Linked DNA regions of Saccharomyces cerevisiae S288C. The gene in region 1 interacts genetically with each later gene. Each region holds a gene or a part of one and is shown in the gene's direction. Other genes may lie near its edges.

The links.
Region 2: mutations in ULP1 (region 1) and ESC1 impair growth when combined (synthetic growth defect), as found in Saccharomyces cerevisiae (one study listed by BioGRID).
Region 3: of ULP1 (region 1) and SIZ1, a mutation in one rescues a mutant of the other (synthetic rescue), as found in Saccharomyces cerevisiae (one study listed by BioGRID).
Region 4: mutations in ULP1 (region 1) and MSC6 together harm fitness more than expected from each alone (negative genetic interaction), as found in Saccharomyces cerevisiae (2 studies listed by BioGRID).

What each region holds. Positions count from the first base shown.
Region 1 is NC_001148.4:510,526-517,609, reverse strand, and holds ULP1 (SUMO protease ULP1), read left to right. Parts: upstream 1-3,431; coding exon 3,432-5,297; downstream 5,298-7,084. Other genes in the region: VTC3 (vacuolar transporter chaperone), read left to right, coding at 592-3,099; ECM23 (Ecm23p), read right to left, coding at 5,946-6,509. UniProt on the Saccharomyces cerevisiae protein: Protease that catalyzes two essential functions in the SUMO pathway: processing of full-length SMT3 to its mature form and deconjugation of SMT3 from targeted proteins. Has an essential role in the G2/M phase of the cell cycle.
Region 2 is NC_001145.3:705,365-714,317, forward strand, and holds ESC1 (Esc1p), read left to right. Parts: upstream 1-1,768; coding exon 1,769-6,745; downstream 6,746-8,953. Other genes in the region: transport protein particle complex II subunit TRS130, read right to left, coding at 1-1,523; ERG8 (phosphomevalonate kinase), read left to right, coding at 6,952-8,307; FMP42 (Fmp42p), read right to left, coding at 8,567-8,953. UniProt on the Saccharomyces cerevisiae protein: Involved in the clustering of telomeres at the nuclear periphery, forming discrete subcompartments that accumulate a complex of histone-binding silencing factors like SIR4. Required for SIR4-mediated anchoring and partitioning of plasmids.
Region 3 is NC_001136.10:1,287,878-1,295,482, forward strand, and holds SIZ1 (SUMO ligase SIZ1), read left to right. Parts: upstream 1-1,528; coding exon 1,529-4,243; downstream 4,244-7,605. Other genes in the region: TRAPPII-specific subunit TRS120, read right to left, coding at 1-61; ADE8 (phosphoribosylglycinamide formyltransferase), read right to left, coding at 338-982; STE14 (protein-S-isoprenylcysteine carboxyl O-methyltransferase), read right to left, coding at 4,495-5,214; DFM1 (Dfm1p), read right to left, coding at 5,492-6,517; rRNA-processing protein RRP17, read left to right, coding at 6,816-7,523. UniProt on the Saccharomyces cerevisiae protein: Acts as an E3 ligase mediating SUMO/Smt3 attachment to septins and PCNA. May be involved in chromosome maintenance.
Region 4 is NC_001147.6:998,969-1,006,034, reverse strand, and holds MSC6 (Msc6p), read left to right. Parts: upstream 1-2,809; coding exon 2,810-4,888; downstream 4,889-7,066. Other genes in the region: GDS1 (Gds1p), read right to left, coding at 1-898; SOG2 (Sog2p), read left to right, coding at 5,207-7,066. UniProt on the Saccharomyces cerevisiae protein: May be involved in the control of meiotic sister-chromatid recombination.

The sequences.
Region 1 (7,084 bases):
AGCTCCAAGGTATATAGCTGTTTATATAAGTCTAAATTACGCGTTTCTGATTTTTCGGCGGACTCCAACTATTAGATAGTCACCATTACCGGTTACATTACCGGCCACATAGTAGAACGCCAGAGTATATATGCCGTGACCTTCACGGTTTGGATGTTAATGAGTAACTTGCACAGCTATTGGTATTTGGACTTCTTGGCACATTTTTCCCTGTACAGCTTTTCTTTTTTTCAATGTGCGAGGGCCCACGTGGCTTAATACAACACAGTGCAGTCGCAAGCACGTGCATGCGATTTTGAAAGCACAAGGCAGAAACGTGGAAACATACACACACGCACACACCCAACTTTCGAGTGGGTTTCATCCAGGAAGAACTTTTAAATAGAGGCCAGAGAGCGGCTTACATCAGACATCTTTTCTCGAACTTACTTCATCTTCTCAATATCGAGAGGGCCCATTGGCGGGTAATAATACGCATAAGAGTGATCTAATCCAAGTAGTACCTCCTTAGCGCTTTTTTTATTATCACTATAGGTCATTTGGCTATTAGAGCGAACAGCAGAATTTGTCCTTGGTTTTCAGAGTTTGAAAATGCTATTTGGTATTAAACTGGCTAACGACGTATATCCTCCCTGGAAGGATTCATATATCGACTATGAAAGGTTGAAGAAATTACTAAAGGAAAGCGTCATACATGATGGCCGTAGTTCCGTGGATAGTTGGTCCGAAAGGAATGAATCTGATTTTGTGGAGGCCTTGGATAAAGAACTAGAAAAGGTTTACACATTTCAAATTTCCAAATATAATGCTGTCTTGCGAAAATTAGATGATTTAGAGGAAAACACTAAATCAGCTGAAAAAATCCAAAAAATAAATTCTGAGCAGTTCAAAAACACCTTAGAAGAATGTCTAGATGAGGCTCAAAGATTGGATAACTTTGACAGGTTAAATTTTACTGGGTTTATCAAGATTGTGAAGAAACACGATAAATTACATCCAAACTATCCTTCTGTAAAGTCTCTTTTACAAGTCAGATTGAAAGAACTTCCTTTCAACAATTCAGAAGAGTATTCTCCCTTGTTGTATAGGATCTCATATCTGTACGAGTTCTTGAGATCAAATTATGATCATCCAAATACGGTGTCTAAATCATTAGCAAGTACTTCTAAATTATCACATTTTTCTAACCTTGAAGACGCAAGTTTTAAAAGCTACAAGTTTTGGGTTCATGATGATAATATAATGGAGGTTAAGGCTAGAATCTTAAGGCATCTACCTGCTTTGGTTTATGCGTCGGTTCCAAATGAAAATGACGATTTCGTCGATAATCTAGAATCAGATGTCCGCGTACAACCTGAAGCGCGCTTGAATATTGGTTCAAAGAGTAACAGCCTTTCTAGTGATGGTAATAGCAACCAAGATGTTGAAATTGGAAAATCAAAGAGCGTTATTTTCCCACAGTCATATGATCCAACAATCACTACATTATATTTCGACAACGATTTTTTTGATTTGTACAATAACAGATTGTTGAAAATCAGCGGTGCACCTACGCTGAGATTAAGATGGATCGGTAAACTGCTAGACAAACCTGACATATTTTTGGAAAAGAGAACTTTTACAGAAAATACCGAAACTGGTAATTCAAGTTTTGAAGAAATCAGATTGCAAATGAAAGCCAAATTCATCAACAATTTTATTTTTAAAAATGATCCCAGTTACAAAAACTATTTAATTAATCAACTAAGAGAAAGGGGTACTCAAAAGGAGGAACTGGAAAAACTTTCTAGAGACTTTGATAACATCCAAAACTTTATTGTTGAGGAGAAGTTGCAGCCAGTTTTGAGAGCTACCTATAATAGAACTGCTTTCCAAATTCCTGGAGATCAAAGTATTAGAGTCACTATCGATTCCAATATCATGTACATTAGAGAGGATTCTTTGGACAAAAATAGGCCCATTAGGAACCCTGAGAATTGGCACCGTGACGATATTGATTCCAATATTCCCAACCCATTGAGGTTTTTAAGAGCAGGAGAATATTCGAAGTTCCCCTATTCTGTAATGGAGATTAAGGTTATAAACCAAGATAATTCTCAAATGCCTAATTATGAGTGGATTAAAGATTTAACTAATTCACATTTAGTTAACGAAGTTCCAAAATTTTCTTTGTACTTGCAAGGTGTGGCTTCACTGTTTGGTGAAGACGATAAATATGTCAACATTTTGCCATTCTGGTTGCCCGATTTAGAAACCGACATCAGAAAGAACCCTCAGGAGGCTTACGAAGAAGAGAAGAAAACTTTACAAAAACAAAAGAGCATTCATGATAAACTTGATAATATGAGAAGGTTATCCAAAATCTCTGTACCAGATGGAAAGACCACTGAAAGACAAGGGCAAAAAGATCAGAATACTCGCCACGTTATTGCAGATTTAGAAGATCACGAATCATCAGATGAAGAAGGTACTGCATTGCCCAAGAAATCTGCAGTCAAAAAAGGGAAGAAATTCAAAACGAATGCAGCTTTCTTGAAAATTCTTGCTGGAAAAAATATTTCAGAAAATGGAAATGATCCATACTCCGACGATACAGACAGTGCCTCTTCTTTCCAATTACCTCCGGGAGTTAAAAAACCAGTTCACCTTTTGAAAAATGCCGGTCCTGTCAAAGTTGAGGCAAAAGTTTGGCTCGCCAATGAACGTACATTCAATAGATGGTTAAGTGTAACCACATTGCTGAGTGTATTGACCTTTTCTATCTATAATTCAGTGCAAAAAGCCGAATTTCCACAACTAGCTGATCTGTTGGCCTATGTATATTTCTTTTTGACTTTGTTTTGCGGAGTATGGGCTTATAGAACCTACTTAAAAAGATTAACTCTTATTAAAGGTAGAAGTGGTAAGCATTTGGATGCACCTGTGGGACCTATTTTGGTTGCAGTTGTATTAATCGTTACCTTGGTTGTTAACTTTAGTGTGGCTTTTAAAGAGGCCGCTAGGAGGGAAAGAGGATTAGTAAACGTTTCCTCCCAGCCTTCGTTACCCCGTACACTAAAACCAATTCAAGATTTTATCTTCAATTTGGTTGGGGAATAAGAACATGTATATTTTTTATATACACATATATTACACAAGTACCAGTTACTATCATAATTAATTAATTGTTCTCTATTTATACATATTTGCTCTTCCGTATTAAATCATATTAAACAGCTTTCAGCAGGTGCCGGCGCCGCCTCTTTTTATTTTCAAAATTCAAAATGCACATAATGAGAAGATGTGTGTGATAGTTAAACCCAGATCAAAAAATAGCTGAAACGTTCGTTTCAGCTCCGCAAATCTATATTGCTAATTAAAATTATTCATCAATATCTACTTCTGTTTCAGTTTTTTTCCTCTTCTTCCTCTGACCTTTGGATATCATAATAATGTCAGTTGAAGTAGATAAGCACCGGAACACACTACAGTATCATAAAAAGAACCCTTACTCCCCTTTATTCTCCCCAATTTCTACATATAGGTGTTATCCTCGGGTATTGAACAATCCCTCCGAGTCTAGAAGATCAGCCAGTTTTAGTGGTATTTATAAAAAAAGAACCAATACGTCAAGATTCAATTATTTAAACGACCGCCGTGTTTTATCAATGGAAGAATCAATGAAAGATGGGTCAGATAGAGCTAGTAAAGCTGGTTTTATAGGAGGCATAAGAGAAACTCTTTGGAACTCAGGTAAGTACTTATGGCACACATTTGTGAAAAACGAACCTCGCAATTTTGATGGTTCTGAAGTAGAAGCAAGTGGTAACAGCGACGTTGAGAGCAGAAGTTCTGGAAGTAGGAGCAGTGACGTACCATATGGTCTACGTGAAAATTATTCCTCGGATACAAGAAAACACAAATTCGATACGTCGACGTGGGCCTTACCAAATAAAAGGAGAAGAATCGAAAGTGAAGGTGTGGGGACACCTTCAACCTCACCAATCAGCTCTTTGGCTTCTCAAAAAAGCAATTGTGATAGTGACAATAGCATAACTTTTTCGAGAGATCCTTTTGGTTGGAATAAGTGGAAAACAAGTGCTATTGGTTCTAACTCAGAAAATAACACTTCTGATCAGAAAAATAGCTACGACAGGCGACAGTATGGGACAGCCTTTATTAGAAAGAAAAAAGTTGCAAAACAGAACATTAACAATACTAAACTGGTGTCGAGAGCACAATCTGAGGAAGTAACATATTTACGACAAATATTCAACGGAGAATATAAAGTTCCAAAAATATTAAAAGAAGAAAGAGAAAGACAGTTAAAATTAATGGATATGGATAAGGAAAAAGACACTGGCTTAAAAAAGTCTATAATCGACTTAACTGAAAAGATCAAAACAATTTTAATTGAGAACAACAAGAACAGACTACAGACAAGAAATGAAAATGATGATGATTTAGTATTTGTTAAAGAAAAAAAGATATCTTCTTTGGAAAGGAAACATAAGGATTACTTAAATCAAAAGTTGAAGTTTGATAGATCTATATTAGAGTTTGAGAAAGACTTCAAAAGATATAACGAAATTTTAAATGAAAGAAAGAAGATTCAAGAAGATCTTAAAAAAAAGAAAGAACAATTGGCCAAGAAGAAACTTGTTCCTGAATTAAATGAAAAAGACGATGACCAAGTACAAAAAGCTTTGGCATCTAGAGAAAATACTCAGTTAATGAATAGAGATAATATAGAGATAACAGTACGTGATTTTAAGACCTTGGCACCACGAAGATGGCTAAATGACACTATCATTGAGTTTTTTATGAAATACATTGAAAAATCTACCCCTAATACAGTGGCGTTTAATTCATTTTTCTATACCAATTTATCAGAAAGGGGTTATCAAGGCGTCCGGAGGTGGATGAAGAGAAAGAAGACACAAATTGATAAACTTGATAAAATCTTTACACCAATAAATTTGAACCAATCCCACTGGGCGTTGGGCATAATTGATTTAAAAAAGAAAACTATAGGTTACGTAGATTCATTATCGAATGGTCCAAATGCTATGAGTTTCGCTATACTGACTGACTTGCAAAAATATGTTATGGAGGAAAGTAAGCATACAATAGGAGAAGACTTTGATTTGATTCATTTAGATTGTCCGCAGCAACCAAATGGCTACGACTGTGGAATATATGTTTGTATGAATACTCTCTATGGAAGTGCAGATGCGCCATTGGATTTTGATTATAAAGATGCGATTAGGATGAGAAGATTTATTGCCCATTTGATTTTAACCGACGCTTTAAAATAGTTATTCTTTTATAATATACAATTATTATACATAAGTAGAAATATTCAGATCATTGGATATGGAATAAAGTTCAATAAACCACTTGAAAATAAATCATAAGAATAGCATAAGCACCAGCTCAATTTAGATGTCTGTACAAAAAGTAATATATTTTAGAGATGAGCAGGCAGAACCACACATTAGTGACGATTGTCTTCGACCTTATGTGGAATCTTAAGCTTTAACATATAAGTAAAAATTTTTATTTTCAACAAAAGATTAGAACGAAATGAAATTCCTTAATTGAACCTTCTCTTGGATATCAATCTATTGGCAATCATTCCTAGAGAATATATTATTGAGTGAAAACTGTAGATACGTGCTAAGCGGTAAAGCCCTTATGAACATCGTCACACTATCTCTATATTGAGCCTCCGTAAATTTCGAATCATTTGAAATTCATTTTTCCTGGTAGGAAGATACTTGATAGTGGAGGATAAGTAAAGTAAATTGTGGTTATCATTTATTTGGTGGTAAAGTACCTTTTTTATGTTTTTTTTGAAGATGGAAATTCAGGCATTTTAAAAAAATAGAAAGCTCGAAATATCTCAAAAAACATAAAAATAGAGGAAGAATCCGCTGAATATACCATCTTTACAAACTACTTAACTATTTATTTTTAAATATAAAATTTTTAGTACCATCATCGGAGGATTGTTGCGATCGTATTTTTTTCTCCATTTTTTTCCTATATGCTATGCCACATCGACTACATAGCTCAACATTTCCATTAGGTCCACTTCTCCACTGAGAAGTCCAGGTGTCACCACAAGTGGCGCACTCTTTTGGTTGACCGTTGGGGAGTATAGTTTGTTTCTTCCTACTTTTAGGTCTATATCCTGCTAAAGATTTCTTTCCATTGGATGATATTGGTAGTGATGAAAAAGATGGGGCTGGTAGAATAGAGGGGTTATGCAAAGGCCCACCAAGACGACTTTCTTCCTTCAATTTTGGACTCAGCGCACTATTTAAGCTTTTGATCTTCTGTTCAAGAATATCTGCTCTTTTTAAATCTGGCGTGACACCAGATTTCGGGATACTGGCTACTGAACAGCAATAATTGGGATTAGCGGCAATGAACAGAACCATTTGTACAAAACGATCGAAGTGGAATTTCGTTCTACGACCAGAGCTACTAGCGCCGCTTGTTCCCTGCTCTTTGTTATATAACATAATATGATTTAAAAGTTCTATCACTCAGCACTACAACGCAGTATTTTTATTCTAGATGACCAGTATAGCAAATATTGTTACCCTTGAGATATTGGTAATTTAACCAAATCTCAAGTCATAAATGCCTCCCTTTTAAGTTTACATAGGCAGTGGACAGATTGGTACATCATATTAAAGGAAATAATGAACGCTAAAAAGAATGCCTTTTACTGACACATTCACTTTTAATACGAAAACGGATTTTGTGGTATATGACGTTGAGCACTGCGTGGTTTTCTGTGAATCCGCCGTGCCTAAAATGGACCCTTAATTATTTAACAATAGACCGGCCCGAATAATGTTAACATGAAGGGAAAAGTGCACATAACTGCAAACTACTTTGGTAGGTTGATTATCAGAGCTAAGCCATCCTACAGGTAATGATTTCCAAATTTTTTCTTAAGTAAAAAAGTTCAGAAAATAGAAGAAATATAAAATTTAAAAGGAATTACTGTTTACGAGACACATCGTTCATTCTTGGATAAATATACAAATCTACTTAAGAAAAAGCTTTCCTTATTTGTTGTTTCCTACTT
Region 2 (8,953 bases), on another chromosome or scaffold:
ATATTGAGAAATGCATTAGTTAAAACGGCCGATGCAGAAACTGATTCCCCATCAATCTGTAAGACGTCTAATTTGGGGCAGTGGCTCAAGGAATCAATGAAAACTTGCAATATTTTCAAACCAATGCTATTCCAGTTCGTTTGAGTATAATATTCGTAACAGGAAAGGAAAAGCGAGACTGCCTCCTCATATTTCTTTCCCTGATAGTAAAGCAAACCTATCTCAATGGATAAAATATCTACTATCCTTTGACGCTTCCCTTCACATTTGTTGAAGAGAGAAAGAATTTCTTTGGTGAGAGTAAGGAAGTTTTCTTGGAAGACAGTTTCATCGACAAAAGTTTCTTTTAATAGATCAAATTTGTATTTAACGTCACTATTAGGGTAGTTTTTGTCCATTAGTCTATAACCACTTGTAGCCATAACACCTTGCACCCAGTTGTCGCGCTTCAACATTAATAACTCAGCTTTGATTTCACACAAGAGAGGATTTGAGACATTCTCAAATTCAAAATATGACAGCATCGAAGTTATAAAATAGTGCTTAAATTCCAATAATCTCACAGACTTTCTATACTCTATTGATATGGATTCAATAAAATTCTTGATTAGTTGAAATGCTCCTACAAAGGCGGTCAACGTCTGGTCCTCTAGTTTTAGAAGTCTTAACCTTCTAATGAAAAAATACTTATGCAATTGAAACTTATCGAGTGTACCTTCTATTATTATGGAGCCCAGTGATTCATCTGATTTAGAAGATGATTCAAAAGGTACCTGAAGTTTTCCATCCGGCATATTCATGTTTCTACGGAGTATTTCTTTTTTGATTTTTTGCAATTCCAGGCTGGCATCTTCCAAAATATTGAATACCACATATAACTCGTACAATTTTTCTCTTGTCAAAAGCTGTTCCTCAAAGTTATTTCCTTTTTGTAAATTGGCCAACGAATGTTGCAAATGTGTCAATCGTTTTTGAAAGATGCTCAGTACGGAAGCCTTAATCTTTTGGCTAAATTGGTTCCAAAACTCCTGCCTTTCTTTGGGAGATCTATAAACCGATCGAACTTCCAAAGTTTGTACATGCGGAAAGTCTTTGCCAAATTTCTCCATTAGGGATACCGATTTGAATAGGTTAGAGTCCACTACTTCAGAATTGGCATACAGTAAAATAATTGGTTTATAAATCATTTTTTCTCCTGTCGATGAAGATACAGATTCCAGATTTGGTAGCCACTGTCTCACAAGAGGCCGTACTTTGGCCCTGTATTGGTCGATAGAGATACAGTTCACTATCAAAAATCTGATAAACGGCTGTTCATCATTAGACTTGTCTGCCTCCCCTCTACCTTCTGGAATCAATTCAATTGGAAGCCTGTTAACCGTTCGTACAGTTCCGTCAAATGCCTTCCAATGTATATTGTCTAACGGTAAAATCTGCTGAAACTCTGGCCTCAGACTCTCAAATAAATCAAACGGGTCAAAATAGCTGACAGGAACCGATCCACAATATATTTCTTTATCCATCTACTATATTAGCATGTAAAAGCAAGTTCACTGGCTATTTTTATTGCTTTTATGCTCACTTTCTTTCAAAACTTCTAACTTGCACTTTTCACCATTTTCATGTTCCGCGAGCTGTTCTTAAGAAGTGAAAACAAAGGAATTTAAAATGCGAGAAAGTCTTTAGTCCTATTGACAAGTATATTGAACACGTTGTAAATTCACCAAGGGGTTAAGTACAAGAACCAATAAATCTATACTGTGAAAATATGTCAAAAAAAAAAGAAACCTTTACTCCAAGGGCAAATAAACTTAAACTGACGACCCCAAGAAGAAAACTGAAAATACTGTCATCTCTCCTTGACGCGGACGAGGATTCCAAAATGAAAGATCAACATGGGTACTCAAGGGTCCACAATGATAAATACAGAGTAGCAAAGCCTACTCAGCACTCGACTTTACATGAATCTATTTCCTCCAGGCGAAGCAGTCATATTCATAATAAATCCCTTCATGAAGATAGTGCGAGGGCATTAAGCTGGGTAGATTCTCTAATTAATAGGGGGAAAAGTATACTTACTACACTAGAAAAGGAAGATGCCTTGTTTGAGCGTAGTCTTGAGGAGGAAAGACAACGTTTTCAGCTTCATGACTCTTTAATGAACAAGTACACAGGAAACAGTAAATCTCATCAGCGACTAATCGATCTCAGGAAGAGCCAATACGGAACGGATACTTCTTTCCAAAATAATGATGAAATTCCCTTAGATAGTTTCATAAGTTCTCCCTTACCGGACGCTGAGGACGAGTCGTCCTCAAATATCGACTCCGATAAGGATGAAGATCTGGAAGGTAAACAATCTTTAATCAAAGATTTCGATCTTGAAAATGATGAATACGAGCTCTCTGAAGAAGAAAAGAATAGTGACGGCCAAAGTAGTCCTTCAATAATGATATTATCAGATGAAGAATATGCAGAGGAAGGAGCACTACAAGATGTATCGAATGATGAATATGCCGAAGAGGAGGGGCAAGTTGAGAGAAAGAATATAGGGCAAGAACAGGCAAATGTAGAGAATGCTACACAAATTAGTTCTTCTGATTCCAGTGAAGGACAGAATTATTCAGAGGGAGTAGAAATGGAATTAGAAGACGACATTGATGTGGAAAGCGATGCTGAAAAAGATGAAAGTCAGGGTGCAGAAGGAACAGAACATTCGGTAGATTTTTCAAAATACATGCAGCCTAGAACAGATAATACTAAGATCCCCGTTATCGAAAAATATGAATCTGATGAGCACAAAGTCCATCAAAGATATTCAGAAGACGGTGCATTTGATTTCGGTTCAGTAAATATTTCAGTTGACGATGAGTCCGAGGATGAAGAAAGTCAAGCTGAAAGTTACTCAGCAAATGCTGAAAATGTGTACCACCATAATGAACATGAACTGGATGATAAGGAACTAATAGAAGATATAGAATCTTCAGATAGTGAATCCCAAAGTGCACAAGAAAGCGAACAAGGAAGTGAAGATGATTTTGAATATAAAATGAAAAACGAAAAAAGCACGTCAGAAGAAACTGAGAATACCAGCGAAAGCAGAGACCAAGGTTTCGCTAAAGATGCTTATACTAAGAACAAAGTGGAACAACAGGAAAATGACGAAGAACCTGAAAAAGATGACATTATCAGAAGCTCTCTAGACAAAAATTTTCACGGAAACAACAACAAAAGTGAATACTCGGAAAATGTTTTGGAGAATGAAACTGATCCTGCTATAGTAGAAAGAGAAAATCAAATTAACGATGTTGAAGGTTATGACGTAACAGGAAAAAGTGTCGAAAGTGATTTGCACGAGCATTCCCCTGATAATTTGTATGATCTCGCCGCAAGGGCTATGCTTCAATTCCAACAAAGTAGAAATTCGAACTGCCCTCAAAAAGAGGAGCAGGTATCCGAATCTTATTTAGGGCACTCAAATGGAAGCAACTTATCGGGCAGGTCTTTAGACGAATCCGAAGAGCAAATACCCCTAAAGGACTTCACAGGTGAAAACAATAATAATTTAAAAACAGACCGAGGTGATCTTTCATCTTCTGTTGAAATAGAGGTTGAAAAAGTTTCTGAAAAGAAACTGGACGGTTCTACAGAAAAAGAACTGGTACCACTATCCACAGATACTACGATTAACAATTCATCATTAGGAAATGAAGACAGTATCTATTATTCACTCGATGACGCTGATGCTATATCAGAGAATCTTACCGATGTTCCTCTTATGGAAATCAAAACAACTCCGAAATATGAAGTAGTAATTTCTGAATCTGTGTATAGTTCTACTTCTTACGAAGATAACACAGTTGCCATGCCACCGCAAGTGGAGTACACTTCACCATTTATGAATGACCCATTCAATTCGTTGAACGATGATTACGAAAAGAAGCATGACCTACTGAAATCAACGTTAGCAGCCCTTGCCCCAGCTTTCACCAAAAAGGATGCAGAATTTGTGGAAGCTGGAGTGACGAAATCATGCTTGACATCTACATCTGGGCACACAAACATTTTTCACACAAGTAAGGAAACTAAACAGGTGAGCGATTTGGATGAATCTACGGAAAACGTTACTTTTGAAAATGAAAATACAGGTGATGAAAATAAAAATCAAAGTAAAAATTTTCCAGGCGTGGCTAACAGTACTGACAAGTCAACTGAAGATAACACGGATGAAAAGTACTTTTCAGCGATTAATTATACCAACGTTACAGGAGACTCTTCCTGCGAGGACATAATTGAAACGGCTTCAAATGTAGAAGAAAATTTAAGATACTGTGAAAAGGATATGAACGAAGCTGAGATGTCTTCTGGCGATGAATGCGTAAAACAGAATGATGATGGTAGTAAAACTCAAATTTCGTTTTCAACAGATTCGCCAGACAATTTTCAAGAAAGCAACGACAACACTGAATTCTCTTCTACTAAATATAAAGTAAGAAATAGTGATCTTGAAGACGACGAATCACTCAAGAAGGAACTTACAAAAGCTGAAGTAGTTGATAAGCTTGATGAAGAGGAAAGTGAGGATTCATATGAACAAGATTATGCGGATCCAGAACCAGGCAATGATGAAGGCAGTAATGAAAATATAGTTAAAGGTACAAAAAAGGATACTCTCGGAATAGTAGAACCAGAAAATGAAAAAGTTAATAAGGTGCACGAAGAAGAAACACTTTTCGAAGCCAATGTCAGTTCATCCGTAAATGTTCAGAACAAAGACATGCACACCGACGTCATCAATCAAGAGGCGCAAGCGAATTACGAAGCTGGTGAAAGAAAATACTATATCCAGAATACAGATACGGAGGAAGCACACATTTCCATTATCGAAAGAATAGATGAGAATGCGATTGGAAATAATATGGAGATCCCAGAAAGGTCGTGCGTGGAAAAAACGCACAACGAAGTGCTCTTTGAAAGAAGAGCAACTACCATTGAAAACACAAAAGCCCTGGAAAATAATACCAATATGCATGATCAGGTTAGCCAAGCTTGCTCTGATTCAGACCGAGACCAAGACTCCACAGCTGAAAAAAATGTTGAGGGATCTGCAAAACATAATTTGGACATTCGGGTGTCCAGTTCGGAAATTGAGTCTGTGGAACCATTGAAGCCAGAATCTGATCGATCAAATATTTTTTCATCCCCAATTCGTGTTATTGGAGCTGTAGTTAAGGGAGTGGGTAAGGTAGTCGACGTAGCTGAATCATTCGTGAAAAAAATTGATGTTATGGATTCTGAGAGTGATGATAACGTTGATATTGGTGATTATAATCAAGACATTTTTAACAAGTCGAATTCTACCGATGCATCTGTTAATATGAAAAGTGTAAGTAGCAAAGAGAGAGACAGCGATGAAGATGAAGCTGTCATACTCGGAGGAGTTACCGCAGAAGCACATAATGACAATGGTAATAATTCTCGTGTGATAAACATCGATCCCACGACAAACGGTGCTTATGAAGAGGACTCCGAAGTGTTTCGACAGCAAGTAAAGGACAAGGAAAATTTGCATAAGTCGGAAGAGCCGCTAGTTGAAGGTTTACAATCCGAGCAACATTTCGAAAAGAAAGACCACAGCGAGAATGAAGAAGAATTTGATACCATATATGGAGATATAACATCAGCAAATATTCACAGTAATGCCCCCGATGATATTAAGAGACAACAACTCCTAAAGAATCTAAGTGACCTAGAGAATTATTCTCAGAGGCTCATTGAAGATTCCAGGAGAGGAAAAAATCAAGAAGAATCAGACGAAGTTAATACAAGCCGTGAACGGGATCTCACGTTTGAAAAGTCCGTTAATGAGAAATATGCTGGAGCAATTGAAGAAGACACTTTTTCGGAGTTAGATATTAGCATTCAACACCCCGAACATGAAGAAGACCTGGACCTATCAAACAATCAGGAGAGGTCAATAGAAGAACTAAATTCAGAGCCAGAAGAAGCTGAGTTGTACGAATTGGAAATAGAGGGCCCTACAGAGACAGCAGCTTCTAGTAAAATGAATGATGATGAAAGGCAACGCGGAAATATACCGTCCACAGATCTTCCATCTGATCCTCCGTCTGATAAGGAAGAAGTGACAGATTCTTATCCCTATTCAAATTCGGAAAATATTACCGCTGAAAAGAGTGCGCCAACATCACCGGAAGTGTATGAAATATTCTCAGACACGCCAAATGAAGTCCCTATGGAAATTAATGATGAAATTCCCGCCACCACGCTTGAGAAACACGATAAAACCAATGTAACATCCGTTTTGGATGATAGATCAGAACATTTATCTAGCCACGATGTTGATAATGAGCCACACGATAATTCCATTAACATCAAAGTAAATGAAGGTGAGGAGCCCGAACATCAAGCAGTGGATATACCTGTTAAAGTAGAAGTTAAAGAAGAACAGGAGGAAATGCCTTCAAAATCTGTACTTGAAGAACAGAAACCAAGTATGGAACTAATCAATGATAAAAGTTCTCCAGAAAATAATAATGATGAGGAAACAAACCGCGAAAAGGACAAAACTAAAGCAAAAAAGAAAAGCCGTAAAAGAAACTACAACAGCAGAAGACGGAAAAGAAAAATCACAGAAGGCAGTTCTGCCGCATCAAATACTAAAAGGCGTAGGGGGCACGAGCCAAAAAGCCGTGGACAGAATACGCATCCAAGTGTTGACAAATAATCAAATTGTATACAGGAATATGTAGATAGTAATAATTATTGCGATGCGTTTTTCTATACGAGATCTAAAAGGAAAAAAGTTCGGTTTTAAGGCGGAGTTAACGTCATGTCGAATGGAAAGAAAGATTATATAAAGAATGGAAAAACAAAAAAGGTGAAAAAACATCTTGGAAGGCCTCATAATAAATCAATCGGCTGCCTCGAGAAATGTCAGAGTTGAGAGCCTTCAGTGCCCCAGGGAAAGCGTTACTAGCTGGTGGATATTTAGTTTTAGATACAAAATATGAAGCATTTGTAGTCGGATTATCGGCAAGAATGCATGCTGTAGCCCATCCTTACGGTTCATTGCAAGGGTCTGATAAGTTTGAAGTGCGTGTGAAAAGTAAACAATTTAAAGATGGGGAGTGGCTGTACCATATAAGTCCTAAAAGTGGCTTCATTCCTGTTTCGATAGGCGGATCTAAGAACCCTTTCATTGAAAAAGTTATCGCTAACGTATTTAGCTACTTTAAACCTAACATGGACGACTACTGCAATAGAAACTTGTTCGTTATTGATATTTTCTCTGATGATGCCTACCATTCTCAGGAGGATAGCGTTACCGAACATCGTGGCAACAGAAGATTGAGTTTTCATTCGCACAGAATTGAAGAAGTTCCCAAAACAGGGCTGGGCTCCTCGGCAGGTTTAGTCACAGTTTTAACTACAGCTTTGGCCTCCTTTTTTGTATCGGACCTGGAAAATAATGTAGACAAATATAGAGAAGTTATTCATAATTTAGCACAAGTTGCTCATTGTCAAGCTCAGGGTAAAATTGGAAGCGGGTTTGATGTAGCGGCGGCAGCATATGGATCTATCAGATATAGAAGATTCCCACCCGCATTAATCTCTAATTTGCCAGATATTGGAAGTGCTACTTACGGCAGTAAACTGGCGCATTTGGTTGATGAAGAAGACTGGAATATTACGATTAAAAGTAACCATTTACCTTCGGGATTAACTTTATGGATGGGCGATATTAAGAATGGTTCAGAAACAGTAAAACTGGTCCAGAAGGTAAAAAATTGGTATGATTCGCATATGCCAGAAAGCTTGAAAATATATACAGAACTCGATCATGCAAATTCTAGATTTATGGATGGACTATCTAAACTAGATCGCTTACACGAGACTCATGACGATTACAGCGATCAGATATTTGAGTCTCTTGAGAGGAATGACTGTACCTGTCAAAAGTATCCTGAAATCACAGAAGTTAGAGATGCAGTTGCCACAATTAGACGTTCCTTTAGAAAAATAACTAAAGAATCTGGTGCCGATATCGAACCTCCCGTACAAACTAGCTTATTGGATGATTGCCAGACCTTAAAAGGAGTTCTTACTTGCTTAATACCTGGTGCTGGTGGTTATGACGCCATTGCAGTGATTACTAAGCAAGATGTTGATCTTAGGGCTCAAACCGCTAATGACAAAAGATTTTCTAAGGTTCAATGGCTGGATGTAACTCAGGCTGACTGGGGTGTTAGGAAAGAAAAAGATCCGGAAACTTATCTTGATAAATAACTTAAGGTAGATAATAGTGGTCCATGTGACATCTTTATAAATGTGAAGTTTGAAGTGACAGCGCTTAACATCTAACCATTCATCTTCCGATAGTACTTGAAATTGTTCCTTTCGGCGGCATGATAAAATTCTTTTAATGGGTACAAGCTATACATACTAGGATGAGGATGGTACTGAGAACGATAAATAAACTTTCTAGATATATAACTTTATGTCATTTAAATATAAATAAAGTGCGTGTTAGCTTGAAAGTGTGCACTCAGATAGTTTGGTAGTTGGAGGACAATCCTCTTTCATTCACGGGCTTGGGCAAAATCTGAGATCGTATGTAAAATGTTAAAGTTAGTGAAAAAACGACTGTGAGGATTACCAGTGTAAGGTTTATTGGGAATGGATTCATGTTGAAAGTAGTATGTGTCCATTTGTCCAGTAAGTTTTGACTCATGTTGAAAATACCACAAATGCAGGACAATAACCCATAAACAGTACCAAATGTGTCAAATCCAAAAACTTTTGAAGAATAATCAGAAACAACTGTGTAATAAAATGGTCTGTACACTACCAGAAGTACTATACCTATTAAGTTCCAAGTGAATGAATTTGGAATCAAGCCAAAAACACCTATAGCGGTAGAAGTGGTGAACAA
Region 3 (7,605 bases), on another chromosome or scaffold:
TCACTAAGGTCCTAATCTTAGATGGGCCAACATAGCTTGGGAAATGCTTAAGAATATTCATGGTTTTTGTCTCCCTGTAACAGGTTGTGAGCCGCACCTTAAACCAGTTATACTAGAACCGTTTAAACTACAATCTGGCCTGATTTTAGTTTTGCAATAACACGATTAAGCGTTTACACATGCACATTCATATATAAGTATACGTATTTACACACATTTTATTCGAAACCTTTAAGATCGTTTTGTCACAATCCATGATCATGATTTACGACGCGAGATGTTTCGCGCCTCACTTTGAAGAATGCCAAATATAAAAGTATAAATATGGGAACTATTCTTATTTGTGAAGCTGCTGTAAAACCTTATATGTAGCTTCTACAATCGCGATGTGCTCAGCATCGTGTACCCTTTGCTCGTACTGCTCTAGTGTTTCTTCGCCAGGTATGATTTCTAGCTTTTTTACCACCAATGGCTCACCCTTGTCGACCTCCTCGATGACATAGTGCACCATGCATCCGGCCGTCAGAGGCTTGTTCTCGTCCTGACATTTGCGCCATGCCATTTCAATTGCGTGTGTGGTACCATCGAAACAACCTGGTAGCGCTGGATGCAGATTTAATATCGGCACAGATTGCAGTTGGCTCAAGAAAGTAGATCCAAGGATCAATAACCAGCCCGCGCAGATGATAACGTCAGGCTTTTCCTCGAGCACTAGTTTTGCGAGGTCGTTCTCAAACTGGGATCTTGCCTTGGCCCTTGCGGCTTTGTCCTCCTTCGCAATACCCTTTGTATATGGGTATAGCGAACAAACCTTTGTGGGGATATTATTGTCCGCTGCCCTAGTTAACCCGTATGCCTTCTTGCTGGAAGATATGACAGAGACAATATGAGCATCCTCGCCTAATTGGCCCTGCTTTTGGGCATCGATCAAGGCTTGCAAGTTGGAACCTGAGCCCGAAATTAATACGACAATTCTGGCCATAGCTTTTGGAAAGATTATTGATGTGTGTTGGCTCTCACCTGCGCTTGCTGCAAGTTAAATCATCAACCTTGAGGCTAGGAGCGTTATTCAACTTTAGAAGTGTCTTCTCTTCATAAACTACTCTATATAACTTTCCTCTTGCTGGAATAAAAAACAGGTCAGAGTCACTAGCAACGAGTCACTCATTCGAATCCTTGCTGACGCTTTTAGTCTTTATGCTGAAATCTATCTTCGAAGTCGGAAGGAAAATGCATTTTTAAACTATCACTAGAACTACCATTTTAGAGCGAGCAGAAGGTTCCTCTTTTCTTAAACAAGTATAATTTTCCTTTTTGGATTGTACTTTATATTCTTACACTAAACGGCCCCTAGATGTCACCTGAGCTGTAGTCAATGTATACACCCATTCACCGCACCAGATAGTAAGTTGAAAAGTGTATCATCTTTAATATGAATATGAAAGAATGAAGTGGAGTTCATCCATATTTCACAAGAAAAGAAGACTCCAACTCAAACAGTTGAGTGTTCCATATACATTCTGTTTCAATGATAAATTTAGAGGATTACTGGGAAGATGAAACGCCTGGGCCTGATAGGGAACCGACTAATGAACTAAGAAACGAGGTGGAGGAAACCATCACTCTGATGGAACTGCTGAAAGTGTCCGAATTGAAGGATATTTGCAGGTCTGTATCTTTCCCGGTTTCCGGTCGCAAGGCCGTTCTACAGGACCTTATCAGGAATTTCTTGCAGAACGCTTTAGTAGTAGGCAAGTCTGATCCTTATAGAGTTCAAGCCGTTAAATTTCTGATAGAACGGATCAGAAAGAATGAACCTTTGCCTGTTTATAAAGATCTTTGGAACGCTTTAAGAAAGGGTACCCCATTGAGTGCTATCACAGTACGTTCTATGGAGGGGCCTCCCACGGTGCAGCAGCAATCACCTTCCGTTATTAGGCAGTCTCCCACTCAACGGCGGAAAACGTCTACCACATCTTCCACATCTCGTGCACCACCACCTACAAATCCAGATGCCTCTTCTTCTTCATCATCTTTTGCTGTACCGACAATTCATTTTAAAGAGTCTCCATTTTACAAAATACAAAGGCTAATCCCTGAATTAGTGATGAACGTGGAAGTCACAGGCGGAAGAGGTATGTGCTCTGCGAAATTTAAATTGTCCAAAGCAGACTATAATCTATTAAGTAACCCGAATAGCAAACACAGGCTATACTTATTTTCTGGGATGATTAATCCATTAGGATCCCGAGGTAATGAACCCATCCAATTTCCATTCCCAAATGAATTAAGGTGCAATAATGTTCAAATCAAAGATAATATAAGAGGTTTCAAGAGTAAGCCGGGCACAGCTAAGCCGGCGGATTTAACGCCTCATCTCAAACCTTATACTCAACAAAACAATGTGGAGCTGATATATGCCTTCACCACGAAGGAATACAAGCTATTTGGGTACATTGTAGAAATGATCACTCCGGAGCAACTCCTGGAAAAAGTATTACAGCATCCAAAAATTATTAAACAAGCCACGTTACTTTACTTGAAAAAAACACTTCGGGAGGATGAAGAAATGGGCTTGACTACCACATCTACTATCATGAGTCTGCAATGTCCAATTTCGTACACAAGAATGAAATACCCTTCAAAATCAATAAATTGTAAGCATCTGCAATGTTTTGATGCATTATGGTTCCTACACTCCCAACTACAAATTCCTACGTGGCAATGCCCAGTATGTCAAATTGATATAGCTTTGGAAAATTTAGCAATTTCCGAATTTGTTGATGACATTTTACAGAACTGTCAAAAAAACGTTGAACAGGTAGAACTTACTTCTGATGGTAAGTGGACAGCCATATTGGAAGACGATGATGACAGCGACAGTGACAGCAATGATGGTAGTAGAAGCCCAGAAAAAGGTACTTCAGTATCGGATCATCATTGTTCTTCTTCACATCCAAGTGAACCGATTATCATAAATCTCGATAGTGATGATGACGAACCAAATGGAAATAATCCTCATGTTACTAATAATCATGATGATAGCAACAGGCATAGTAATGATAACAATAATAATAGTATCAAAAATAATGATAGTCATAATAAAAATAATAATAATAATAATAATAACAATAATAATAATAATGATAATAATAATAGTATCGAAAATAATGATAGTAATAGTAATAATAAACATGATCATGGTAGTCGCAGTAATACTCCCAGTCATAATCATACTAAAAATTTAATGAACGATAATGATGACGATGATGATGATCGACTTATGGCGGAAATAACTAGCAATCACCTTAAAAGTACTAATACAGATATTCTAACTGAAAAAGGTTCAAGTGCACCCTCGAGAACCCTGGATCCAAAAAGTTATAACATAGTTGCTTCAGAAACTACTACTCCGGTGACAAACAGGGTTATTCCTGAGTACCTCGGAAACAGTTCCAGTTATATTGGTAAACAATTGCCGAACATTCTGGGAAAAACGCCTTTAAATGTGACTGCTGTTGATAATTCATCCCACTTAATCTCTCCAGATGTTAGCGTATCATCCCCAACGCCAAGAAACACCGCTTCAAATGCAAGTTCGAGCGCTCTCAGTACCCCTCCCTTAATAAGAATGAGTTCATTAGATCCCAGGGGATCCACTGTTCCCGATAAAACAATAAGGCCTCCCATAAATTCCAACAGTTATACTGCATCGATATCAGATTCATTTGTCCAGCCTCAAGAATCTTCAGTTTTTCCACCACGTGAACAGAATATGGATATGTCCTTTCCTTCCACCGTGAACTCAAGATTTAATGATCCACGTTTGAATACCACAAGATTCCCTGATTCAACATTGCGTGGGGCAACTATTTTGTCGAATAATGGGCTTGATCAAAGGAATAACTCTCTACCAACAACAGAAGCAATCACGAGGAATGACGTCGGGCGACAAAATTCTACGCCTGTACTTCCCACGTTGCCCCAGAACGTCCCAATTCGTACAAACTCTAACAAGTCTGGGCTTCCTTTGATAAACAATGAAAACAGTGTCCCCAATCCTCCCAACACTGCAACCATACCGTTGCAGAAGTCCAGACTCATTGTAAATCCATTCATTCCAAGGAGGCCTTACTCTAATGTACTGCCCCAAAAAAGACAACTTTCTAATACATCCTCAACTTCACCCATAATGGGTACATGGAAAACGCAAGATTATGGAAAGAAATACAACAGTGGTTAAAAACGAGGCTAAAATTGGACGGTTCCGTCCAGCTCTTTCATGAAATATTTTCTTTGTAATTGTGCATATGACCTTCATTTTCTATAATTTTCCGTTCGAAAAAGAAATATTTTCTTCTTTTCAATACTCAAAGGCAATATCACTGTTTGCATTCCCCTAGCATTTATTACCTACCAAATACAGATGCACAAGATTAGATAAAATCTTACATAACACAAAAATCCAGTCCATAACTAACACAATCATTACTATTATATAAAAGGTATTCCGACACCAACCTTATTCTTGTATTCTATGTATTCCGCGCTAAAGAACTCTATCAAATATTTTTCTTCCACACGAATTCTATCACTGAAAAATTTCCAAAGTACAAAAATGAAAATAACCAATGATAGGGGATTTAGAAGCAGTAGCTGAGTGCCAATTGCCCACCAAAAGAACCCAAGATAACTTGGATGTCTTGACCAGGAGTAAACGCCAGTTTTCACTAAAACATGATCGGACTCCTTCTTGGTCTTCACAATATGAGAAAAGGAATGTCCCGCAGTATGCATAGCAATAGTTCTGGTATATTGTCCCAGAATAACTAGAAGACATCCAAGTACTGTACAAAGCTTGGTAGCTAGAGAGTAGCTAAAAATTTTCAGATCAGGAAAAAGAAAGCTTTCTACGAGGCATTCCAGAATAGCAAAGGAATGTGCCGCCATGTAACTTTTGCCGTTGTTCAGAAGAAAGGACTCTGAATGTACCTTAAGAGGATTGTATTTAGCTGTAATATAATACTCCAAAAAATGGAATAAGGACAGGGCAATAATAAAGAGGTTAAAATTCTTGAATCTAATTTGTGGAAAAAGACCAACAAATATACCTAAAAGAATCCCCAGTATGTAGGAAGTCATGGTCACCTCATGCAGCGGATTGCGTCTGATGTCTGGATACTCATGCTCGTCTTCTTGAAAATCTTGGTGCATGTTGTGTTCAAAAACGGTGACCACAATGAAAGAGGAGGTAAAAAGAGTAATTATCTTGAAATCGATTTTCACTTTCTTATATAATTCATCAACACGAGAACCTTTCTATATACTGGTGGTATCATGTAAAGAATTGTTTTACCATAGTGGCCCATTTGTCAATTCGTCTTGAGTGATGTTTCATTATCAATCGGTTGCTATGCCAACGAAAATACTATGTCAGACTCTCTTGATGTATATAATGAATGGCAAAGTACATAGAAATAGATAAAAGTTGTTATTGTGAGTCGGAGGGGCTGTTTGTTTGTCCTACTCGTTGGCCGCGGCCTTGAAATTGGTTCAAATTCGATGGGCCACTTCTTAATTGACTTCCAGAAGCTCTGCCTGAATCTGTGCCACTGGTTTGAGACAATGTTGCAGGGGCCGTACCCAATCGTTGACCTCTTCCACTAAAAGTTCTCGTTTCTCTTTGCGAAGATGGCACATTGGCAAAGTTGTTGTTGAATGTTGCAGTTTCATTGTGGGCACCCGTTATGCGAGCATATAGACTAGTAAACCACCATGGCGTTGAGAATTTCCCATTGGGCGAGATTCCGTAGGTTGGATCAGCTTTTCTGGATATCATCCCCCATATTGGCCCCAGTGTATGGGTATCTAAGCATGTATAAAGGTACCCTGTAGTAAAACCGATCAATGAGATTACGAAATCACCCTCATTAAAAACGAAAGAGATAAACAATTGAATTAAGGGGAAGTACTTCCCCCAAACAGGAATCAAACCATAAAACATGATCTGCACGTTGGCATTGTCGATCGACCAAGTATATGTAATGCATGATATGAACCCAGAGGTGAGCACAACAGGGTAGTAGGACCCATAAATGATTGTAGTGGCCGTAGTGATGGCTAGTATACAAAAGCACAGGTAGTAGGCATAGTCTACTGTTACCATCGGTCCTCGTCTATTGGACAAACCGGGACCAAAATGCCCTCGCTCCAACTGTGAGGACCTGTCATAAATACTATATAGTTCCATTAGCGCAGGCATGGCACGAGACGAAAGCATTACACAAGAAGTAAGAAGTCTCCATATCTGAACCTTCTTGAACGTCAAATTCCAAACATAAATAAAGTACCACGGATTGATTAGATTCAACCGGCCGACGATCGTCATAACGATCGCTAGAGTAAATAAAGTTCTTGTTATTGGGGGGATATTTAACCAGAATTCTTTTGGGCCCATCACATCATTATTACGGCCTCCATTTCCATGTAATGTACGCACATTCCTTGGGCCTGCCATTATTTCCTCGAAAATAGTTTTTGATTTGACTTGGAAATGCGGAATTCACTGGTAATTTGTTGTATTTTGCCTTATATCCTTTGTTTGATACTCTTGTCTTATATTGAAGAGGACACGATTTCATGAGCCGCGAACGGGTAAGTAGGGACTTTTCACATTTGAAATTTTTCAAATGTGATGAGGATCGATTCTGCAAAGCAGCAGATAATAGCAGATAAAAAATAGAGAGTTGCAATATTCAAGTTCCTGGTAGCTGCTCGAATCAAGAGGGGTGAATTAAAGGTTTTCGATTTTTGCTATGGCTGTTCACACCAATAGGCAAATCCTTACAAGAGGCAAAAACTATGCTACAAAGCAATCAAAGAAATTCGGTACCGATGAGGTGACGTTCGACAAGGATTCTCGTTTGGATTATCTGACTGGCTTTCACAAGAGAAAGCTTCAAAGACAAAAGAAAGCACAAGAGTTTATTAAGGAGCAGGAAAGGCTTAGAAAAATTGAAGAAAGACAGAAGATTCGGCAGGAACGTAAGGAGGTGATGGAAGAACAGTTAAAGACGTTTAAAGAGAGTTTAAACTTGGAAGCTGAGATAGAGGATGCGAAAAATGATAAGACGGAGGATTTGCAGGTAGAATCTGATGAATCCTGGCACGGGTTTGATTCTGATAAAGATGACGGCGATAACGACAATAATGAAAGTAGCGTAAAGCCTATTTTGAAGAAAGGAGCAATCACGGAAATATACGATGACTCAACTACTGTTGAATTGGAGACATTGGAACCCAATGATAACTTTGAATATTTAGCCCAGCTAAATAATGTCAAATTAGAAAAGGCAGAAAAAGTACTCAAACAAAGCATAAATAGAGCCACCAAATACGCGAAGTTTCTGGGCGTGGATGAGAAACAAAAGAAGAAGCCAAGAGTAAAAAAGTTCAGATATTTGACCAAAAATGAACGAAGAATAAACCAAAGAAAGGCAAACGACAACAAGCGTAGGAGATAATGCAGTCGCATTATCGTCGGGCACCGCCTGGGGTTTCTTGACGCTCAAACAGTGTTTGATTTTTTTTTGGAAAAGTATATAC
Region 4 (7,066 bases), on another chromosome or scaffold:
GATTTAGTGACACTGGAGAAGTGGAATAAGGTATGTTGAATTCTGGACTTAATGAAAAGGCCAGATTCCCTACATTCAAATTTTTTGAGAAGGAACTGTTAGAAGACATATTTTTCATGTCCGTCATAGAACTTGAATAACTGTCATTGTTAACTAGCTGGTTACTGCTGGACTCCCTTTTTTTCTTGCCATTTGAATTAAAGTCGCTTGTATCACCGGAGGTCTCCAATTGTTGTTTAAGTTGCATCGTAACAGCTTGAGCATGCTCCTTGTAATCGGGAGATAATATGCCTCTGTATATATAGAGCATCCTTCTAGGAGATGAATTAGACCATTCCCTTGATAAAGCATAAGTTAACGTTTTCTCACCTTTTTCAATTTTTTTAACATAAGCGTTCAGTTTTGCGGAAATTAAATTTGACAACTTGGTTGATAAATTGGACATATCTGGATGTTTTTGCAAAAGCAAGTCACACAGTTGTTTGACGGTCATGCCTTGTTGATTCGGATCCATTTCCCATAATATTAAAAAAACTGCGTGAAGAACGTCATCATCCAGAGGGGAGTCTCTATTTTCGGGTTTTGGCCTCTCACCAGTAACAGGTATTAGCTTAGAAATTTCTAATAATGGATTGTCTTTTTTGGGAGCACCAAAGTCCTTCTTAGGTTTGGTAGCTTTTATTTCCTGAGATGAGGAAAACGAAGAACCGGCCAAATTATTATCATCAAGGGCCATGCCTGGCTGGTTGCCGATAAGATCCGTGCCTGGATTCGAAATAGTGTCAGCTCTAGTTGTAAATCCCATTGAATTCAACTGAAATACTGGAGAATTTGAGTTATGAAGAATTTCATTCTCTAAAGTTGGTATTTGCAAAGGTCTGGAATTTGCCAATGCCATTATAAGTTCTTCTAATCAATTTTTTTATATGGTTTTTTGTCTTTTTTCGTATTTTTTTGTCCTTTTCTAAAATACTATAGCAAAGCAAAAAAAAAAGTAAAAAAAATTTGATTTATGAAAAGTTGAAATATCCTGGAAAAATTAGTTAAAACCTCCCAATATTTCTGTAGTTATTGATTGATTGCCCGTTTATTTTCTATTTTGCTGATATTGTTTCTGCTAACGTTTCTTTATATAATCCCGCTTGCTGACACAGAAGTGACTAAAATAGGGTAAAAAGGGAAATTATTACGAAAAGGGCAGTCCAAAGCAAATAAAAAACAATGGAATAGAAAATAAAAAAAATTAAAACTCAAAATAAAATGTATTCCAATGTAAAGGAAAAAATAAAATAATAGGAAAAAAGAAACTATTATTTTAAAGCCTTCAATAATGGAATGCTGAAAAGAAAAGTTATGATTTTGGTAATTTGAGTCAAATAGTCAATCAATGACTTTTTGTTTTTGGTTTTTCAGAAATAGAAATTACCAAGAACCTTAATTGATAAAAAAAAGGGGAGCTTGAAGGGAATACTGATAATACAAACAATATCGTGTAAAAAAAACCTACGTAAAAAATTAAATCAAGCCAAGCGAGAACAGAAAAAAAAAATGAAGTAAAATATTGGACTGGAATATGAAAATTTTAGAAAAAGAACTAGCCGGGATAAAAGTACAAGAAAAGGAGAAGAAGAAAAATTTTTGACTTCTCATCGCATGGGTTTTCAGAAAATTTTCTTATCAAAAATTTCATCGGGCGTATGATTTTCGTTTTTTTCTGCGTCGTTCCTTCACAAAGTATCGAAAACCCCAAACAAAAAAAATATAAAAAAAAAAAAACACCCTTGCACCCATAACATACGGCGAGATGTAAGGTAGGTATAGCAGACTTAGATATTGCGTGCGAATCAGTTTGATTCGCAAGTAAAATCTTCATGCGCATTAGTATAGAGCGTTGGAAGCAGTTAACATAGTATTTCGGTTTTTTTTCCCTTTCATAAAAAGGATTCTTCTTCCATAATCCCTTGCGTGAGTTGAATATGAATGAAACTCGTTGAACTAGTGAACAACAAGTGATTGTATGCTCATATTTAGTACTAACATTTCAGCATTGTATAATCCTTTCTTTACTTTCAGGATAAAGACATACATTCTACGTATGATCAAGAGTAAGGAACAAGAATATTAAAAAAAACGAGATGAACCTTGAGTATATATATATATATTTACACCAATGTGCCCTACGAAAATAGTGAAAAAAAAATTTCAGTTGCAACCGCGTTTTGTCCGTTAGTATCTTTTGTCCGTACACCTCGTACTAAAAAAGAAAACCAGTCCAAAAAGAAAGTCAAACGGTCCAAATCGGAAACACCGACGCTCAGCTTAATAAACATTGTGTAGAGCCAAGCGGAAAAGAATACCATTTAGCCGCCGATGCAGAAAACCGGTATATAGAGCTGAAAACAAAGATTGAACTCTCCAGACAAGTTAGAAGTAAAAGCAAGTAATATATAAGTTTTATAAGTGAATATTCGGTCGAAGGTAGTGTCAAAGTTACATCACCAAAACTACTTACTATTGAGGAAATATCAGGTGTGCCAATACGTTAATTGATCTGTGAATAAAAAACGAAGTTGGAACATTGTATTACCTTTCAAATATGCCATAAAAGGTTGCTCGTCGACTAAGTAATTAATCGATTATAAGAGGGAAAAAGCGGGGTAAGTAAAATGTAATATCATCATATACGATATACATACCGCCTGTGGAATCGTTCAATTGCTACACATGTCTAACTAAGGACGTACTGTCTATATGTTTGCTTAAGTTGGCTCTGCACAAAATAATATCAGAGCCTTCCACTGGGATACAGATGCTTTCCCATAATGCTTTAAGGGCCTTTGATTGTTCAAAGGTGATTATTTCACGAAGATGTCTAACCTCTTCAACATCGATATACCAACAAAGCAGCGTTCACTTACAAGAAACAGATGATGGACATTCAGGAAATAGAGAAAAGCACGTCTCACCGTTTGAAAGGGTACAAAATTTGGCTGCTGATTTGAAGAACGAGTTGAAAGCTCCAGATTCAGATATCAATGAAGTTTTTAATGACTTTAAAGATAAGATTGAATCGTTGAAACAGAAATTAAGGAACCCTTCACCTATGGAAAGATCACACTTGTTAGCGAATTTTTCTTCGGATCTCCTACAGGAATTAAGTTACAGAAGCAAAAATATGACGCTAGATCCTTATCAAGTATTAAACACATTGTGCCAATACAAATTGGCACGCTCACAACATTTCACGATTGTTTTAAAGTACCTTCTATATAATCAATCACCACAGGACGTTATTGCCTTATGGGTGAAGTACTTGGAAACCATTTCCGAAAACCCAGTGATCTTACTTCAAAATAGTTCTTCTCGTGCACATATGCAAAATATTGCAATTACCACCATTGCTTACTTATCTTTACCAGAGAATACTGTGGATATCAATATTCTGTATAAGATTTTACAGATCGATCGTAAAATGGGCCAGGTTTTACCTTTTAACATGATTAGAAGAATGTTAAGTACAGAATTTAGCTCTCTTGAAAGAAGAGACGTGATTATCAAAAATCTAAACACTTTGTACTATCAATACACAGTACAGGATAGTGATCATTTCTTAAGTCAAATTGAAAATGCTCCTAGATGGATAGATTTAAGGGATCTTTATGGCCAATACAATAAACTTGAAGGTGAGAAAAATGTAGAGATCATAAGCAAGTTCATGGACAAGTTTATTGATTTGGATAAACCCGACCAAGTTGTTACTATTTATAACCAGTATAGCAAGGTTTTCCCAAATAGTACGTCGCTGAAAGATTGTCTTTTAAGAGCTGTGTCGCACTTACGAGCTAAATCGAGTAAAGAGAAGTTGGACAGAATTCTAGCAGTCTGGAACAGTGTTATCAAACCAGGAGATAATATTAAAAACACATCTTATGCGACGCTAGTTAACGCACTAACTGATTCTGGAAATTTCAACCATTTAAAGGAATTTTGGGAAGAAGAACTTCCTAAAAAGTTCAAGAAAGATCCCATCGTGAAGGAAGCATTTCTCCTGGCCTTATGTCAAACTTCGCCTCTAAAGTATGACCAAGTCAAAGGGGAGTTAGCAGAGACTGTTAAAACCAAGAAGTTGTTCAATAAAGTTTTATTGCTAATGTTAGATGATGAAAAAGTGAGCGAAGAACAATTCAACACATTTTACTATAACCATTATCCATCAGATGGTGTGTTACCCCCTACTTTGGATACTCTAAGCATTAAAATGTACGCTAATTATAAATTTCAGGCAGAAGATACACGCCCACAATTCGATCTATTGCAAAGTGTTTCCATTAATCCCACCGATTATGAAAAGGTTGAAAAGATTACGAAAGCCTTTATTTCAGTGTGCCCCACTGTCGAGCCGATTCGTCAACTTTACAAACAATTGGGAACTCACTTAAATGCTAGGAATTATGCAGACTTTATTTCCGCAGAGTTTAATAAGCCTGACGGCACAGTGGCCGAGGCAAAGAATTTGTTTTCTGATTTTCTCTCATATCAAAAGACTAGAAAGAGAAACGTGGATAATACGCCTCTAAATGCTTTATTATTGGGGTTCTGTGATAAACTTTACAAGAGTAAACATAGCGAGTACGTTCCCTACATCGAAAAGTACTACAATCTAGCTAAGGATTCAAGTATCAGGGTGTCGAACTTGGCCGTTTCGAAAATTCTATTCAACTTGGCCACATTTGCACGCAATACTCAGCAGTTATCTGACAAAGAGGTTGCTTTTATTAACCAGTTTATGCGAGATTTAGGCACTAATGAGGGTTTTCGTCCCAACCCTAAGGATATTCAAATTTTAAAAGAATGTGATGGAATTACTGTTCCAGAAAAGTTGACTTAATACACTTGTCATAAGAAGACAATAAGAAAAGCTCAGAACCAATTTTCTGCACATATGATGCTGTAACTATATAATGATTTCTTGTATATAACTTCCGTATAATAGTTATTGCTTCCATGCATGATTCTTTCAAAGAACAATACAAAATAAAAATAAAAAAAAAAAAAAAAAATGAAAAAATGAAGCTACAAGTCGGGTAACAAAAAGTATTTCAAGATCTCTAAATATAAGTGGGCAAATAAAGTTAATGCCAAAACTCCATGCTACTTTTCACCTGAACTTATTGGGGGGAGTTAAGTCTATAAGTATCCGTAACGTATGGTAGCGACATCTTCAAAGAGGACGTTGGATCCGAAGGAGGAACATTTGCCTGCTGACAAAACATCCACTAATTCAAGCAACACTATAATATCTGAGTTGGCAACACAAGAGAAATCCAGCTCTAGTGGTACTACACTAAAATTAATAGCTCTTAATATCAAGTCCATATCAGATGAAGATGTGGGATATATCCAAAATGTTGAAAGACTGTCTTTAAGGAAAAATCACTTAACATCCTTACCAGCGAGTTTCAAGAGGTTATCAAGGCTGCAATATCTGGATTTGCATAATAACAATTTTAAAGAAATCCCATATATTTTGACACAATGCCCTCAATTAGAGATCTTGGATCTGTCCTCCAATGAGATTGAAGCATTGCCAGATGAAATATCATCGTTTTGGCAAGATAATATTCGTGTATTATCATTGAAAGACAACAACGTTACTAGCATACGTAATTTGAAATCGATCACAAAATTAAACAAGCTGAGCATCTTGGATTTAGAGGATAATAAAATACCCAAAGAAGAGCTTGACCAAGTACAGAGTTATACTCCATTTCATACGGGCATCCCCAAAGAAGAATATTGGGCAATTGCGATATCACGATATCTAAAAGATCATCCTAACCTACCTACTCCAGAACCTAAAATATCTAGAGCAGCGAAAAGAATGGGATTCATAAATACGAACTTGTCTAATGGAGCAATGAATGAAAACAATATAATTTCACTTGCCCCAAGTGCAAATACAACTATAAGTGCATCTACTGCAATGGTCTCATCTAATCAAACCTCTGCAACATCTTTCAGTGGTACAGTCAATGCAGAATCAGAACAAAGTGGGGCAGTGAATGGTACGGAACTATACAATCACACCAAATATAATGACTACTTCAAGAGGTTGTCGATTTTACCAGAAGAGTCAATGAGTAACGGGCATCAAAAAATATCGCATGCAGAGTTGGTTGTTTCCTGTCGGAAGCTCCTATTTAGTTTTACAGAATGCCAACAAGCTATCAGAAAAATCGCCTCTTTCTGTAAAGAGAAGGCCGTAGCGGTTAATGTAGTATCATTATTATACTCTGTCAGATCACATACTGATAATCTGGTGGAGGTCTTGCAGCAAACAGAGAACGAAGACGAATCGCATGATCAGGCGTTAATCAAGCTGTGCCTCACTATCATCACAAATTTTAAACAAATTATAACATTGTTGAGAAAAAATTTTGAGATTTTTTTCAAAGAAGACGATCTATGCTTCATAAGGATGTTTTATATGACATTAATGTGTGCTTATATGGAAATGTATAATGCATGGTCTTTTATCAAAGAAGATGATCAAGTGTCCGGTTCTGCAAGTAAGGCACCCAAGAAACATTCTTTTTCGAGGCACGAGACATCGTCCAGTAGTATCACAAGCGGTGGAGGACCCGCAGCAAGTACGACCAGTACACATTGTAGCGGAAACATAAAATTACTGCCGAAAACAAGGAGCACAAGAACACCATCTGCATCTGCATTGCTTTCAAATAGTAATATTCTGACGGGTGATACCACTGCTGTTCCTCTTTTATCACCAAATCTAAATGGTGCACACACCCATGGTCCAATTTTGGGACACCAAAATGCAATAAGCAATGGAAGTTCTCAAACGAACATGAATGAAGTAAAAACTACTAGCGATACTATTCCAAGGCAACAGCTGCTTCAGCACAATAAATCCATCAGCGATTCGAAAAAAGAGTCACAGGCGCATGAACCTAAACAGCATCCGGTTATGACTTCTTCAATAATTAACGCATCAAATAGTAATAACGTCTCGAATGTTAATATAACCCCACCACCGATGAATGGT